Drosophila melanogaster: one gene and its partner. The protein of the gene in region 1 interacts with the protein of each later gene in a pairwise test. Each region holds a gene or a part of one and is shown on either strand. Other genes may lie near its edges.

What was found. Proteins that work in one complex are often made in the same cells at the same time.
Region 2: the proteins of CPT2 (region 1) and Npc2f interact in a two-hybrid assay, tested with the Drosophila melanogaster proteins (one large-scale study listed by BioGRID).

The regions. Positions count from the first base shown.
Region 1 is NT_037436.4:2,977,361-2,985,977, reverse strand, and holds CPT2 (carnitine palmitoyltransferase 2), read right to left. Parts: upstream 4,957-8,617; 5' UTR 4,856-4,956; coding exon 3,792-4,855; intron 3,731-3,791; coding exon 2,936-3,730; intron 2,819-2,935; coding exon 2,674-2,818; 3' UTR 2,427-2,673; downstream 1-2,426.
Region 2 is NT_033777.3:24,135,273-24,143,210, forward strand, and holds Npc2f (Niemann-Pick type C-2f), read left to right. Parts: upstream 1-2,622; 5' UTR 2,623-2,780; coding exon 2,781-2,928; intron 2,929-4,506; coding exon 4,507-4,614; intron 4,615-5,254; coding exon 5,255-5,424; intron 5,425-5,536; coding exon 5,537-5,623; 3' UTR 5,624-5,664; downstream 5,665-7,938. Other genes in the region: Sec10 (secretory 10), read left to right, coding at 1-639, 709-1,296, 1,355-1,544, 1,614-1,931, 2,004-2,102.

The DNA.
Region 1 (8,617 bases):
ATAGCCAGAAAACGAACTCAAATAGTTTTTACCTCATTTTGGCGCATTTCTTTTTCTAGTTTTTCCCAAAAGAAATATATTTTCACCCATTTTGTTTTGCTAATTTTCCTTTGGCTTTCGTTTCCGCTGCTGGCTCATTGACTATTTGTTAATTTTGTAAATAATTACCGGCAATTAGAAATGATTATTCCGCATTGCTTTTGGCATTTATAGGACCAGCTCATTGTTTGCGCTCATGTCTCACCAAATGTCCTGCGGCAAAACCAATTAACTTGAATGCTTAACACAAGCACGAGCTGCTTGAATTGAGTTTCAAGTACTTTTTCAGACACCTGTGCAGACATTTTCCATGAATTGCTCATAAATCTGATGTTAATTACACAAGGAAGCTCGCCCCGAAAAATTGCGGCTGGGCTTAAGACGTCGTTTCCAGTAGCTGACACTTTGATATTCGAGAGCCTTTAAGACTATGATCCTTTATTGAAAATAAGGGGGAGAAAAACTGGTAATTATTTAAACGTTGTTGTTGGCTACCAACACTTGAGTACTTTTAGCCGAGTTACCTTAACCAAATTACGGTCAGCTTAATTTTAGTCATGACAATTGCCAACTGAATACAGAGCACATCCGAGTACCTGTATCAAAGGACTCTAGTAACTCATTACAAATTGGAGCATAAAATCTAACTCCGGAGGACCGTATGACCAACGGGCAGTTGTAATTTCCAGACACGTTCCCACATGACCTGGCCATTAATTCGGACCAGTTCGCAACATAATTGGCCAGGCACCTTGTAATGGCCAAAACTGATTTCCATATTAATTGCTCATTAGCCCGTGGTGCGGAAGTGCGGCTTGTCTTTTGGCCCGAGTGCATTAACATGCGGCAATAGCTTGACCAAGATTACGCATACGCACTGCGGCTGGTGGTCTGGGACACTGAGAAGTTGCTAACAGCCTTGCGGTCGTGCGGTTGCTGTGGTCGAACAAATATTATTGTTGCCGCAAATTGAAGCTGCCTGCCACGAACAAAAGACAAGTGCTTAAATCCAGCGGGGTATCCACCACCCGGCCATAAATCAATTTGCGGGCAGCCCTTGCCCAGGATAAGTTTGGCAACAGATGCCCGGCCTAATGATGCGTTCTTTAACACAGCGAGAAAGCGAAAATTAAATATTAATATTCAATTAGGAGAACAATTATTGATTTCCAGCCTGGCCTTTCTCGAACCTTTTGACTTTCAACGCAATTTTGATTAAGAAGTGGAAAGTTAAACGGCGCTCTGAGTCCGAAACTCATCAGCAGGCGATTCACGTCAGGACATTTTATCGCAGCCACATGTCGCATGCCGCAGCACAATGGACCAACAGGATGATGTACTAGGATACATATAATGCCACAACTATGTAGCCAGCTGGACGGACGGGCAGTGGAGTCCCATTTTTGAATAATTTAATGAGCTGCCGGGCGTCGGCGGCGTATGCGCAATATTAAATCCTGGCGACCGCCCATTTATCATCGACCCACATCCTCGCACACACAGACTGCGCATCCACAGCCACAGCCACATCCACATGCACATCCTTTCCAGCACGTCAGTTTAATATGTTTTTAATTGTCCGCCACTGGCAGAAGAGTCTACTTGGCTTTAATGACCTCTCCGCCGCGTAAATGTCTCCTTTTTTAATTTTTAATGCCGCCCATTAAGGCGGAATCGTGTACGTATCAGGAAGACTCGGCGAGCAAGTTAATTAATTTTTACAACGCCACGCCAGTTGGCACAAAATTTGACGATAAATCAACTGATAACGTCAGCACATTTAGCGACATCCCCATTCCCAGCCAAAAAGGCAACGTTTTGATAAACTTTTCGCCATGTTTAGGCGGAGTTCGCGATTGACGTGTGCGGCTGACACAAATCGAAAGGCAACAACTTGGCCCGAAGGGTTGGTGGCCAAGTTTTCTGGGTCAGCGTGTGGGAAATCTTTAATCAGAAACTGTTTAATGCAAGGGTTTTTCCCCCACTTATTCCGGGATAAACAAGTTGGGAACAGGGTGTGCGTGGGCACACATCTTGTTTAACTTAAGTGACAATGAAAGGTCAAAGTTTACGCATGCTTAAAAGGAGACTCAATAGTTAAACCAACTCAAAAGGGTTTGTGCCATACATCGTTCTGTGTGTTGATTTTACTTAGGAAAACAAAGGATCGAAAGATGTTTTCTTAAAAAAAAAACATTTTCTTACGCAAAATAATCTTAAATGCTTTCAACCGCTCTTATTCGATTTTACTTCAGCTCGTTTATCATAACTCTATGTTCAATTTTAATATAAACTTCTTAAACTCTTTACTTTAAAGTTGTTTTCAGCATTGTTTTAAAACGTGAGTTATTTCTCGTATTCAATTGCAAATGTCAAGCCAGCAGCATCCCAACAATATGTTAGCCAATTTATTATCCCATCAGCCGCAAAAGCCATTAAAGCAGCGGGTATAAAAGCAAAGACACAGATGCTTTAGATGGGGTAGAATGTTTTCAGTGTATAATCTATAAATTGTAGATAAAGATATTGCAATTCAGACACATGGGATACAATGTAAAAGCATCAAAATAAATCTCCCTGTTACGTTAAAGCCATATTCATTGGATTCGGGGTCGGACTCCTCACGATTTTCTCCTACTTCTTGCTACTGCTGCTCTGCTGGATGACAGCGCAAATTTTATCAAATGCCGATTCCAGACTGTCTATGAACACCTTCCCATCGGCCTGGTTTTTGTACGTGGTGACAATGGCGCCGGCAAAATCGTTCTGAATCGAATAGCTGAAAGAATAATGGGTTATCAACTGTCAGCTAGTGAACAATTTGTCGAGGCAACTTGAAAAATAGGTGCTGCATTTGTACATTCAAATACCCAATCTCGACAGGCAGTCAGCTTACCCGATTCCGAAGCCATTCTTGACCACCGGACCAAAGGAACCCGCTAGCAGGGCATCTGAACCCAGTGTTGAGGTACTAATGATGTTGTTATTAATGCGCTTGTAAGCCTCAGTCTCATAGAGATCGGGAATTGGTATTCCCTCCTTTTGGGCCGTGTGCCGAAGGGCAAAGAGATGCCGATCGAAGCCCTGGCCCATAGCCGCCTCCTTGGTTAACTGGCCATGCACCTTGCTGCAATTGTCGATCATTGCTCGTAGTTCTCCGGCGCTGGGCTTGCTCCTCTCCGGCTGGAGGATAGCTTCACAGAAGTCCCGTGTGGCATTTGTGCACGGTCGCATCGTTTCGGTACGTCCGTGTCGGAAGGCGGATGTGCTGCAGGATTCGTAGCTGCCCACATAGCCGCTGTAGGCTTGGCGATAAGCCAGCTGGAAGGACAGCTGAATGATGGAGTCCGGACTTAGGCCATACTGCTTGCATGTGGGCTTGTTGATGTGTGGGTACTTCAGCACATTCATGTCCAGATTATCTACAATGCTGGCGTTTTTATTATAAGCCTCCGAAACGGCCGACTTGGTGGCATCGTCGATTTCGAAGTTGATGGGCCGCACGTTGCTAAAATCGCCTTCGGCGGGAGTGTGCACTGTCTCCGTGGATACAAACGGCTGCTTCAAAGTATCCTTGTAGAGCTCGTTAAAGTAGCGAAGCACAGCCACTCCATCGCCCCACGAGTGCTCGAAGTTAATAGCCGTTGTTCCATCTGCACTTATAAGCAGGGAAATGGATTTGTCGAACCAACTGTAACAGAACAGGATGATTTTGTGAATCAGGCAGGCTTTACATAATGTCGACTTCTTACCGATTCTGCGCTTTTCCCGCCAGCAAATGCTTGAGCAGCGGCTCCTGCTGGTTTTCGTTAAAGACTCCATCTTCTTCGCCATCCAGACAAACGCAGAACAGAGCCGCATCCACCTCTCTCTCCAGAAGATCGGCATTTTTGGTGTTGCTAACAAAATGCTGTCTTGTCTTGGCCCACTCATCACGCTGTCCGGAGGTCAGAACACCAAGTGGCACGCTGGCTGCCTCGCGATCTGCATCAAGCTTAAGCACAGCCCTTAGTCTGCCCAGAATCACACTGGGACTCTCGATGTATCCACTGGAGTCCAGCACATTTACGGCGTACATGTGACCGCGGCGCATAACCAGAATGTGCTTGGCGTCCGGTGACTGGACCAGCTCGTCCTTGCCGATCCTAGGAATCCTAGAGGTGCCAAACAACCGGTTGTACTGGCTCATGTCCAGCGGAAAGGCCTTGAAGGCATAAGACGCGTAGGTGGCAAAGGCTTTGGGAGCCACCTTCATCCACCTGCGGTAGCTGGAAGTGTCGCTCTTCTTGGCGTTCATGTGGTACACCTCCGGCTCCAGGAGATCCGCCTGCAGAGATCGCCAGAACCGTAACGAGCTGATGATCAGGTTGGTAGCCCTAACCACCTGTTGCTGGTACTCCGGTCGCGCGTCGCTTTTCATCACCAGCAGCGGATTATAGTTGAGTGGCAGGGGCGCTCGATCGGCTAGATACATGTCGAACCAGGGCTGCGAGATGTAGCTGGTATGCTTGTTCTCTGCATCATGGCTCTTGAGTTTCGCGTGTAGTTCCATGCCGATCCCCTGGCGAAACTGTTCCACCGTTTGCTGGGTCTGCGCCTGCTCCGCCGGCGAGAGTAGTGGCTTGGTGGCCTCCAGGAAACGCCGACAGCTGTTCTCCAACAGAGGAATGGGCAATCGCGGCAAGGAGCGCTGAAAGTACAGCGTTGGCAGCTTGGAACATTGCAGGTATTGGTAGTGCTGGCCATGAGTGGTCGTTGTCCTCGACGAGTTCGTCGATATCCACGACAGATTGCGGTGCACCCGGGTCCGAAACATGGCTATCCACTCGATGGCTTTCCAAATTGAGTAACTTTTGTTGTTTAAACTCGAGAGGCGACGTTTCAAAGTCCACAACAGAAAGTCCAACAACAAGATGAAAATTCGCGAGCCAGATCAGCTGTTCGCCATTGATGATCACAGCTGATCGCCGTCATCGATAGTTACCTTACGGTATTTTTGGTATTTTTCAGTACCTGTAATGGCGCCAAAATATTTGAATATCGTATATGTTTGAAATTTACGATAAATAGATCTTTGCGGATTTTATTATTATTATGTATAACTGTACTATATTATATGGGTTAAAATTCATGTTTAATATCTTTTGTAAATTTTTTATATTTATAGCACTATAAATTGAATTTGCAATAATCAGATTCCAATCGCATGCCGGGCACGAAATTTTGAATTGTCATGATTTTATTGAATTACCATAACGACGATAATGAGAAATGAAATTACCACTCAAAATCAGCGCTGCTCTTCGCGGTCAAACATTTCGCTTTCACGGCTCGAGTTTCACATTTGGCTGACCTTATGGCTAACATTTAACATTTGAGGTCCGTGCTCGCAAAGGAAAGGGCTTGCGGATCTCCCTGAACTCCGCATAATTTCGCACTTTGCCCCGAAGGACTACGTTTCCGTATCCCTTTTCCGCATTTAATGCGCTTCGCTTTTGCACTTTCGCTGGCTTGTTAAATATTAACGCAATTTCACTTCGCCCAATTACACTGCAACCCATCCGCATCCTCATCCGCTTTCGCCGATGCCTCTTATGCAAATTTAAATGGAAAAGGGGATTCCCCTACTCACTTTACTTAATTTGAGGAATTGAGGGGCAGTGGATTTTATTCCGCAAGCGTCGACTGCAAAGTGCACAGATGAATCGATGGGAAGGAACGCTCGTGAAATTCGACAAAGTATAAAAATTTTATGCGCATTTTCATTTCTTTCTTAGCCCCGTAATTTAAGTAAACCATTTGTGTTTTTTCCGACTTACCTGGGAACAGTGACCGGTTGGAATACCCGCAGGAGCCTTTGACCCACCACGTCTGCAAGATGTCCTGACCCCTCCGAAGATCTGTTTCTTCCCCGGGAAACCCTCGTCGTCCAAGCTCCAAGCTCCTCGACCAGCAGACATCAACAGCGGGCAAACAAATAAACGCCACGCAAATGCAAACAAAACGCTGTTTATCCACGGACCAAAATCGCCAGGATGCCATTGCCAAAAAGGTGAAAGGACGCTTAAGCACTTGAGCGCCTCCGAATCGAACAAATCGATGGGTAATTGCTTTGCCATTGCCCCGCGCATTTTAAAGACCAACTGCGACTTTAAATAACTGGTGGGATAAAGGACTTCAATTGGAAAGAAAAATAAATAAATAAAATTAAATGAAATATGTTGCATACTAGCACAGATTGAATTAATGTTTTTGATATAAAATGTAAACACAAAGTTAGATTTAAAGGCGCTCTTTTGTGACATATTTTTTCCACTTTTTTCGCCGTTAATAACAAAATCTATTCAAGGACCCTTGAATGTGTTTAAAAAGCATACAATCTCGACACTCATTAACAACCAACGGTAGTATAAAATTTCAACTGTCGCCGCCAGATGCGAAAACACATAAAAAACCTCTAAAAAATCCTTTTCTTTTCTGTGCGCAGAAATCAACATTTGTTTCCAGAGTCCTTTGCCGGACAATAAAACTGTTGACCATTCTAGCACGCACAGCGTGACTGGGGATCCAGATTCGAATCCTTCCTTCCTTCCTGTCTTTCTGCACCTGAAAGGTGTGGCGAATAAGTCGCTTTCGACGGGTTGACAACTGCGTAAAAATCAGGCAAAAGCACGAGGTGACCAGATGGAAGAGTTAACTGGCAAATTCCATTTGCCCCATGATGACAATGGCAAATGGGCTTGGGTTTGGGTTTGGTCGACCTTCGGACAAACGGAGATTTGCATAGATGGCTCAGCAAAAATGCCGCATTCCAGTCGAGCAAATCATTGACATGGCCATGAAGAACGGAGATAGCTCTCAAATGGCCGCGTTGACAGCCCCAAAGAAATGGAGGCAATAACTCAGGCCTCACTGTAGGAGGTTGCACTGTAGAATGGGAATGCGATGGTCGAGGTGTTGGAGTTTATGCTACCTTTAAAATATTTAAATAGGCATAAGGATAGCCTAACCATTATTTAGTGCAATTTATATAACATGTGTTCTTTTATTTTTATTGCAATACATTCCAATAAGCACATACTAAAAGTTAATTGTGCTTACTAATTAGGATTTATTTATTATTCTGCCACACACTAGCAATGCCTTATTTTAATTTCAATTTATTGAATACTTTTCAGAGTAGTGCACATTGCAGGCGGATTAAAAAGCTAAATCAAATGTAGCCAAAATATAAGCAAAAACGACGAAGCTGGGAAACAAGGACGGCATGCTGTGGAAAGTCTGGGAAATTTGCTCTTGTTTTTCCCGAGTTGTTTCCCCGCAGGCAGGCGCGGTGGGGGGAATTCAAATTTAATTCACCAACCTGTACGTGCATGACAAATAAAGCAAGCAGATTAAGTCAAAACCCACACGCCGAAAACCGACGAAATACACAGGATTCCACCCACTTTTTGAGACCTTGAAGACATCGTAGGCTGATGAATATGTAAAAGCTTTTTGCTGCCACAGTTTGCGGCTCTTGTGTGCTATTGTGCACAAACATGTTAATTTTCATAATTGCCTGGCATGCCCCAAGAAAATAATGCAGATAATTGCTGCAATTTTAGGGACACTGAACCCGAGCCATTAATTTATGATCAGCCACGAGCCACGATGGCCAGCAGCATAATTAATATGCCACAGGAACAATCGCTGGGGAATCCTTTTCCCAGGCAGCAATGTCAAGGTTCAATGTCACCAGCAATCAATAGCTGCTGGCCACAAAGTTTATTGATATTCTTGGGTGTGGCATGCATATATACGGGGGCATTGTGGAATGCTGGGAAAATGTTTGGAAACGTGGGCATCTATAAATCTTGGTTGCCTTAATAAAGTGTGATAGTGAATATTATTAATCAGCTTGTATGAAATTGTCGAGTAGTTTTACTGCCATTTAAACAGACCTTAAAGACCCTTAGCAAAGCAATGCCAACACAATCCCAAATCGTTTAAGGAGCTACGAAAATAAAGTAATGAAGGCGAAACGCCTTCTTCAAAATCAAGGCCCAAAACACACAAAAAAAAAAATAAAAATAATGGGTATACCAATTACTAAATATGTGTAATAGCACGCATGTATGTAAATCCACGCGAAATTCCTTAACTTTTGCAAAAAGCCAAGTCTGGGATTCCGCCCACTAAACAACCGCCATTGTGATGATTTTCCTAGAAGGCCAGACAAATTGCTAGCTTCGTTTTTTTTTTCCTCTATTTTATATGCTTTTTTTGGCTTTGGCGTGGAGCAAAGCGAAATCATTTTTCACAAGAGTGAAACAACGGCTACAAGAACACATTAAATTGCTATAAAGGCAACGCCAGGTCTCAGGACTCGCCCAAAGGAAGCGCCGCCGACATGTGAACTCCTGCCTATCGTTCTCATTTTGTGCACTTGGAAAATATATGCTTTAAAAATATCCAGAAAATCGAAGGACCTTCGGCGCCAAGGATAGCCATAACAGGTCTAAAATAACATGCATCAGGATGGTTCTACATTATAGGGCTACTTGTTTTTTAAAGTGTAAGTTTCAGTCACCGATTC
Region 2 (7,938 bases), on another chromosome or scaffold:
CGAAAAAATCAATTCGGTGGCCGGCAAGATCATGCACCTGGGCGAACAGTTGGAGAATGTGAACACTCCACGCAGTCGTTCAGTGGAGGCCCAGAAGTTACTCAATTTTATGTCCGAGTTTTTAGCCGCTGGCCCTGTGATTGTCAACGATATTTTTGCGGATGCCGCAAGATTAAGTGAGGCCGCAGATGTGATACAAAAGCTCTACGCTATCTCGCAGGATCTGCCGCCCGGAAACTTTGCGGAATCCAAAAGAAAAATCGAAAAGAAATACGATGAAGTCGAGCGGCGGTTGATCGAAGAGTTTGCCACCGCCCAGAAGAGCGAGGACATCGAGCGCATGAAGACACTGGCCCAGATCTTGTCCCAGTTCAAGGGTTACACTCAGTGTGTAGACGCATACATCGAGCAGAGCCAAATGCAACCGTACAGTGGCAAAGACATATTTATAGGCATTGTACCGCTATGCAAGCATCACTACGAGATAATCCAGAAGGTGTTTGCCAATCCGCAGCAGGTTATGTCCAAGTTCATACTTAACATATATCAACTGAAGCTTCACCAGTACGCCATGACTAAGTTGGAGGACAAAAAAGACGAGGAGAAATATCTTCGCACCCTTTATGAGTTATACTCGCGGTGAGTCATTCAGAAGTTACGTTAAATGTCAAAATTTGCGATTACTTTCATTTCACAACCACTTTGCAGCACACTAAAATTGTCAACAGATCTTCAAATCTACATGTCCACGATCGACGACGACTTGTTACAGAAGCTGACACAGCAGATTTTTATAAAGCATTTGGCCGGCTACGCCGAAATGGAGACCAAATGCCTCACAGCCAAGTGTTCCACAGAGCTGGAAAAGTTCTATGCCAGCAAGAAACACCAAAAGACTGCAACTACTAAGGGCTTTCGGAGAAACATGGAGGTGCTGATAGCCACGCGGGCTAACATAAATATTGCTGCCATCGAGGACTATGGCGGGGAGACGTTCCTATCCGAAGAGTTGGCCATCAACATGCTGCAGGAGGCCAAGGCGTCGCTTAAGCGCTGTCGCCTGCTGTCCAACGAGACCGAACTACCAGGCAATGCTATAAAGCTAAACGATATCCTTCTTCGTTTCTTGATGCACGAGCACGTAGATTACGCACTGGAGTTGGGACTGCAAGCAGTGCCACTGGCCGAGGGCAGGGTCTTTCCCCAGCTCTACTTCTTTGATGTGGTGCAAAAGACGAACATCATTGTCCATCTACTGGACAAGCTGTGCCACACATCTGTCATACCCTGTGTGAGGTATGTTAGGACTTTGTTAATTTACATTTTATAGAATGTATAATGTATTCTTTTCTAGTAATACACCCAAGTACTCGGACTATGTGTTCAAAAAACGTATTCTGATGGAGCAAATCGAGACAAAGCTGGACCAGGGTCTTGATCGCTCTATTAGCGCTGTTATTGGCTGGGTCAAGGTATATTTGCAATATGAACAAAAGAAAACGGACTACAAGCCGGAAACAGATGTGGATACAATATCTTCAGCGGTAAGATATAAATTTAGTAAAATCGAGCTTATCTGTCTATCCTTAAAAATGTTTATTTTTCTTTTCTAGGCCTGCTTACAAGTCGTTCAGAATCTGCAGCCCGTGATTGTGCAGATTAAAAAATGTGTTGATGGAGAGAATTTGCAGAATGTTCTTACAGAATTTGGAACTCGGTTGCACCGAGTAATCTACGATCACCTGCAGACCATGCAGTTCAACACGGCTGGCGCCATGTGTGCCATCTGCGACGTGAACGAGTATCGCAAGTGCATTCGCGAGCTGGATAGTCCACTGGTCACGCAGCTGTTTGACATACTGCATGCATTGTGCAATTTACTACTTGTTAAGCCCCAAAACCTTCAAGAAGTTTGCACGGGTGACACTCTGGTAAGTGTGCGGTGCCTTTGATGTCGAGCGATAGTCTTACGTTACCATCTGTATCCACCCCACTCTATTTAGAATTATCTGGACAAGTCGGTGGTGCGGCAATTCATTCAGCTGCGCACTGATTTCAGGATCATCAAGAACACCAACTATCTGAAGGGTATTATTGAGTGAGGAGTTCGACGTCCAGAATGATTCACATTCCAAAATTTTCCACCTTCGCTGTCTACGGATTAAATTGATTTATTAAAGGGGACATTATCTAATGATGTTTAATTATGGCTTGCCATGTTCTTTAACTTTCAATTAAAGTCAAGTGGCTGGTTACTTTTATCAATACATCGCCCGCGTTACTTGATTTACTTTCGTGTATTTATAGGCGCGACTCACACGCGTGCCCGCCGCCCAACCACCCACTCTCAGACCCACACACGCCTCCAGCTACGTCACGGACTTCCCGTTTGGAAATCTTCAAAGAGATTCGCTGACCTTATCAGTTGGAGCTGAAGCGAAAGTCAGCGTTATTTGCTCCCATCGGCTTCCAGTCAATAAATCAAAGTTTATTGCCTAGGCGTCCGCGAATTATTTATTTATTTACGTTTGCCCGGAGAGTGCCAGCACTCCAATCGAAGAGAGGCCGGCTACTTTTGTTGGTACCCACTATTCTTGGTGTCAGTCACCTAATAGCCACCAAGCAAATCGTATCGCCAAAAAAAAACGTTGCCAGCCCGTGATCCTGATTAACGAACTGCTTTGTTATTGTTATTAACATTTCTTATTTGCACACCTACGCAAAATTCGTTTGGACGATATTCTAATCAAACCGCGATCAAGATCTCAGTCGATTAAACCATGCGCGGCGCCCTAATGGATTACTATCTAAAAATACTCTTGGTTATTTGCGCTGCCCACGAATTGGCCGGCGGAACGATCAAGTCTACCAGAGATGCTGTTTACAAAAAATATCTGTCCCTAAGATCTTTGCCCTTCGAGGATTGCGGTAAGTATATCTCAGGATCAGTGCTTTTCGGTGGGTCGATTCAGACAACGTATAAAATCAATTGATTTCCACAGGGGAAAAAAACGGTAAGAAAATATCTCGAGCAGTTTTCTTATACACCATGGCTTTGTTAAGGTATGCATTCGAAAAGAAACCTCAAAAGCTTTATATTCGAAAAAATATTAGAATTAGAAATCATTCTACTAAAATATTATCTTCCGGTGGAAAATCGACCTACCGAATAATACTATAATAATACAATAATAAGGAATTACTTCCGCAACACCCATTTTCGGGAATTTTAATGGATCCAATATTGTGCACTGTAATTCAGATTATATCGCTGCCAAGTATATTGTAAATTTCACAGGGCGCAATCTGACAAAAGAGAAAACGATATAACAGAGTTCCTCGACCATCAGATACCCCTTAGTCACCTTAAGGCAGTCCGAGCAAAGGATTGAATCTTGCAATCTTGCAATTCAATCAATTTCGAGATTAAATATAAATTTATGGTTATAGGATTTTAAGAACTACGTATGGAAATATCAAAAAACGAATATAGTATACCCTATTACTCTATGAGTAACGAATATATATAATAGTCATAAAGAGTAATTCCCCGATAGTAGCGCCTTTAACTTCACTTTATACTTGTGACATGATAAATCTAATTTATGATACATTACCATAATCGAAAAATACTATCAGAGCTTAATTTGAAAGTGGGTAAGATCTGTGGGCGTAATAAACGTGATATTCCAATGACATCAACAAAAAACCCGAATATAGTTACTTGTTTTCAATTTTTCATTATCAACAGAATATAAAATTAGATTGACGCTGTTCATTTTGCAGTCAAGGAAAAAGAAATCCTATTTTTAACTACTTTTAATTACCCAGCTTAGTTGATTTTAGGGCATCAAACCTTCGTTAACTAGTTTTGGTTGCCCAAAACACGAGCTATTAATTGTATTCTGGTTTTTACGATGTCTGATTAAATGGAGTATTTATGGACTGTGCACAGTAAATACATGATTTATGTTCTAGATTTGAGGAACTGTAAACAAACAGATATGACGCCCTTATGGGGGATTACCTTATGACGCTGATAGACAGGCGAACGCCCACTTTGGGGGGGCAGTAATCAATGAGCAGCCAAGTTAATTGAGTGTTGTAATCTAATGCTGAACGCGGTTCATTTTTTGAAGATAGAAACTTTTTAACGGCCTTGGGAAGTGCACTTGGTCATAGATTATTTAGAAATGCGTATATAGTATGTATAGGCGATCGCCTGTGTGGATCGCAGATAATTCGGCTTAGTTGCTGAGAGTAAAGTTTTTTACTTTGTTGCCAGGTGTTAATTATATGGTTGAATGGCATGTACTATGTCACGTAACCAAATCCATTCAGGATAGAATGCCCAACCTTACCTACTCTATGGATCGTATCCTTATTATGTTTAAAGGAATAACTACGAACTATTTTAGCATGTTGTTAGCATAAGATCTAAAGCTAAAAGATCCATATCTTCTGGTTTTATGTGCCTTTTAAATCTGTTTCCATTGCCTCTTTTAGGTTCTTTGTACCAGGTCAGCTACCTGGACATCGAGAGCTGTACGACACTGCCCTGCTCCATGGCCCGGAACGCGACAATTAAGGTTACTGTGCGCTTCGATGATAATGGTATGTAGGTGCTCCGCTGATAACAGCAGATCCGTGCATTCGGAATTGGGATTTCTCAGAGCAACGTACACTCGACTCGCGTTCTGAGCAAAAGTCAGTCGGAAATAAAAATAGATGTGGTGCGGGCGAAGAACTTCGATCAGGTGAATGGCGGATGTTCGGGTGGGGCAAGGTGTTTTGGAACCCCCTGAATTCCCTGAATATGCATGGTCAAATGATGGTGGCAATAATGATAAGCTGGTGAAGATTGTATATCTACAAAAACTCACCGAATTTCCTGCTGCTACTACTACTACTGTTTATGTTCAATGCATTTCGATTGCAACCTAGGCTCAGCCCCACAGTCGATCCATAAATAATAAATTAAACGCCTAATGGTATTTTGATGAATCAGCAGAAATGGAGACGAAATCGAAACGATTGATCTCAGCACGAATCGAACATTTGGAGTACTAATTTGCGATAGGGGGCTGAAACGAAGATTGGCCAAAAATTCGATTAAAGAGAGCATGCAAAACATGTTCAGATAATTGGATTAGAGTTTCAGCTTTGATAAAAAACGTACAGCCAAGCCAAAATGATAGTAATAGTATAATTGTTTTATGTTATAGTAAAACTTATTATTTTATCCCATTAACAGGCAATGGCGTCAGCTTTCTGAAGCACGAAGTCCGATGGGTGTTTAACTACATCAAGACCCAGGCGGCCATAACTCCCGATCCCTGCGACGGAGATCACGGATGCATAGAGAGCGCAAGTGGTGGAAAGGCCTATTGGGCCAATATCTTTGTGAACGAAACTTTGCCGGTGGTAAGTAAAGAACCCTTACAATAAACTCTACAAATCACCATTAATATTCATTCGTACATATTCTTAATTATATATTTTATATATATATAATATATTTCTCTCTGTGTTCCAGATGAAAGGTAGCATGTTGTGGGAATCCAAGGATGCGAACGATCAGAACCTAATCTGTTTCCAGGTTCCCGTTGTAATCACAGTGTAAATGTGTAATCACGAAAATAAAGTAATTGGTGCATGCAAATCAACAGACCAGTGCGTTTGTGTGTGTGTGTGGGGGAGGGGAGGTGTGCATGTGTGCATCCTTTAATGAAATTTTGAATGAAAACAAAGGGGCGCGGCATCGTAGTAGTAGAAAGGGAGAGCGAGCGAGACGGGAGGTGGAGATCTCCGTTTTGGCACGGCACACACGGTGAGTGGGAGCGGGAGCAAGTGGAGCACGGCACAGTGGTACAAATCGCTGATATAGCACTTAAACAGTCGAGTATAAACAATACTATTTAAATATAACAGAAATATATGTTTATAACTTAAAATAGTTATGTAACAAACTATTATATGCTGTGTGATTATTTTGAATATTTTATAATTAATATTATGTTCGAAAAATCCACCACCTTGCCCACTGTGGCGAGAGAGCGGCGGGAGAACGGGAGCATTGGAGCTCGAGCCCTGCAGTCCGAGTCCGTGGCGTTCAGTGTGTCACTCTCTCTTGGGGGCTGCAGCGCAACGGTCGCACGAAAAGAGCTCCCACTTGAGATTTAGATTCAGATTCTGATTCGGATTGAGATTCGGTTTCGGTTTTGTTACTTAAGATCAACAGTTCCCAGGAGCGGAAATCGGAACAGTGCGGCGAATTAAAGATTAAAGTGGCAACAAGCGATCAAAGAAGGCGCTCCGACTGCGTGGGAGTACGAGATCACGGATCACGAGGCGTGGAGCCAGTGCATCCGAAAGTGTTTCCATTACCGTGAGTACCTAAAAATGTATCGCACTGCCCGCCATTTGCGCAATTCCGTCGGCGTAAATGAGATTGTCTTCGCGCTAATTGCGGACTAGTAGAGATGGTGCTGGCGATATAGGGGCATCCAAGGGGATGAGCTGAGATCCCATCGGATAGTGCACGGTTGACATGCGGCAACATCACTTCTCACGCCCCAAAAGCTCTCTTAGCCGTACACTTGCATAGGCGGCGTTCTTTTGCCTATAGAAGAGATTTTAGAACATATTTGAGTTTTAGAAAGGAGATCCCAGAAGAAAAGCTTTTACAGAACTCTATAATCGGAAGTACGAGTATGAATGCACACACGACATATCATATCGCTGAACCTTGAGCACGGCTTCGTGTTCAGAACCTGACGTAGAACTCGACACCGCCATGGATACAGATCCTACTCGGATTCGCTCCGCTTGAGCTTGAGCTTGAGCACATGCCCAGCTGGGTGCTTGAACCCCTTAAATGGGCTTCCATTGGGGTCACTTGGATTTCCTAGCGGTCTTAAGTGTCACCATAGCGATCCGGGGGATACCGCGCTTGACAACAATGGGAAAGATACGAAGTTTCTAGCAAGAGAGTAGCTAGATCATGTGAAATTGGTATAGGGACTACATACTGAAGAATATAGAGCTCAAGCTTAAGACCTTGAATTTGTAAGATAATCGTAAAGCTTGTTGTTCTTGATGATGAATTGTTTAGGTTATAAATTTGCATGAATCGAAAGCGTTGACATCTGACGCATACTAAAATGGAATCATACTTTATTTTCATGATATTTGAGAAGGGAACTTCACGGTTTCTTTAAATGCACAACAGCAAACAGTCGGTTGATATTTACATTATGGTTAACTGTGATTCAGCAATGATCGTGGATAATGTTTAGCCCCCCGTAAAAAGCCAGTCCATCGAACTCCTCGGTTTGATCTCGCCGTTTTCTCGCCTGGTCCCCAAAAACTGATGATTGCTCCCGTTCCCCGTCCCATTTGCTGGTATTTTGTTACGTGCCCTCTTGGAACGTTAAAGTTTTTCGACTTGTTTTTTTTTTTTACCACCAATGCACTTTGGCAGCGACGGAGGCAACAATGCGATGAGCTGTTGGTCAAAGTGTTAAACGATTTGCATCATATTACACCCAGTTGCTGCCGCCTCGAGTTTTGGCCATTGTCGCCGGATTGCCATTGTAGTAAGCCCCAAATGGGGGATTGTGGTAGGGGGTGGAATGAGGGTGGCTAAGGGGACGGAGCAACTGCAAGTGGAGGCAAAACAAAAGCAACACTCCAGCAAGAGCAGCAACCACCAACGATTTATCACAGCAACGACGTCAACGAAATCGATCCGGATCTTAGTGCCCCCCATCCTCATCCCCCCCAATTGCCATCCGCTGCCCTCCTTAGCAACGCCCCTGTGTGTACACTTGCAGAAAATATGGGTCAAACGTGACCTTAAACTTGACTATGGCCATTACCTCCATCTCTTTTTTGATGAATACTTTGTAGTGTTTTTCAATTTTATATTTTTTCATT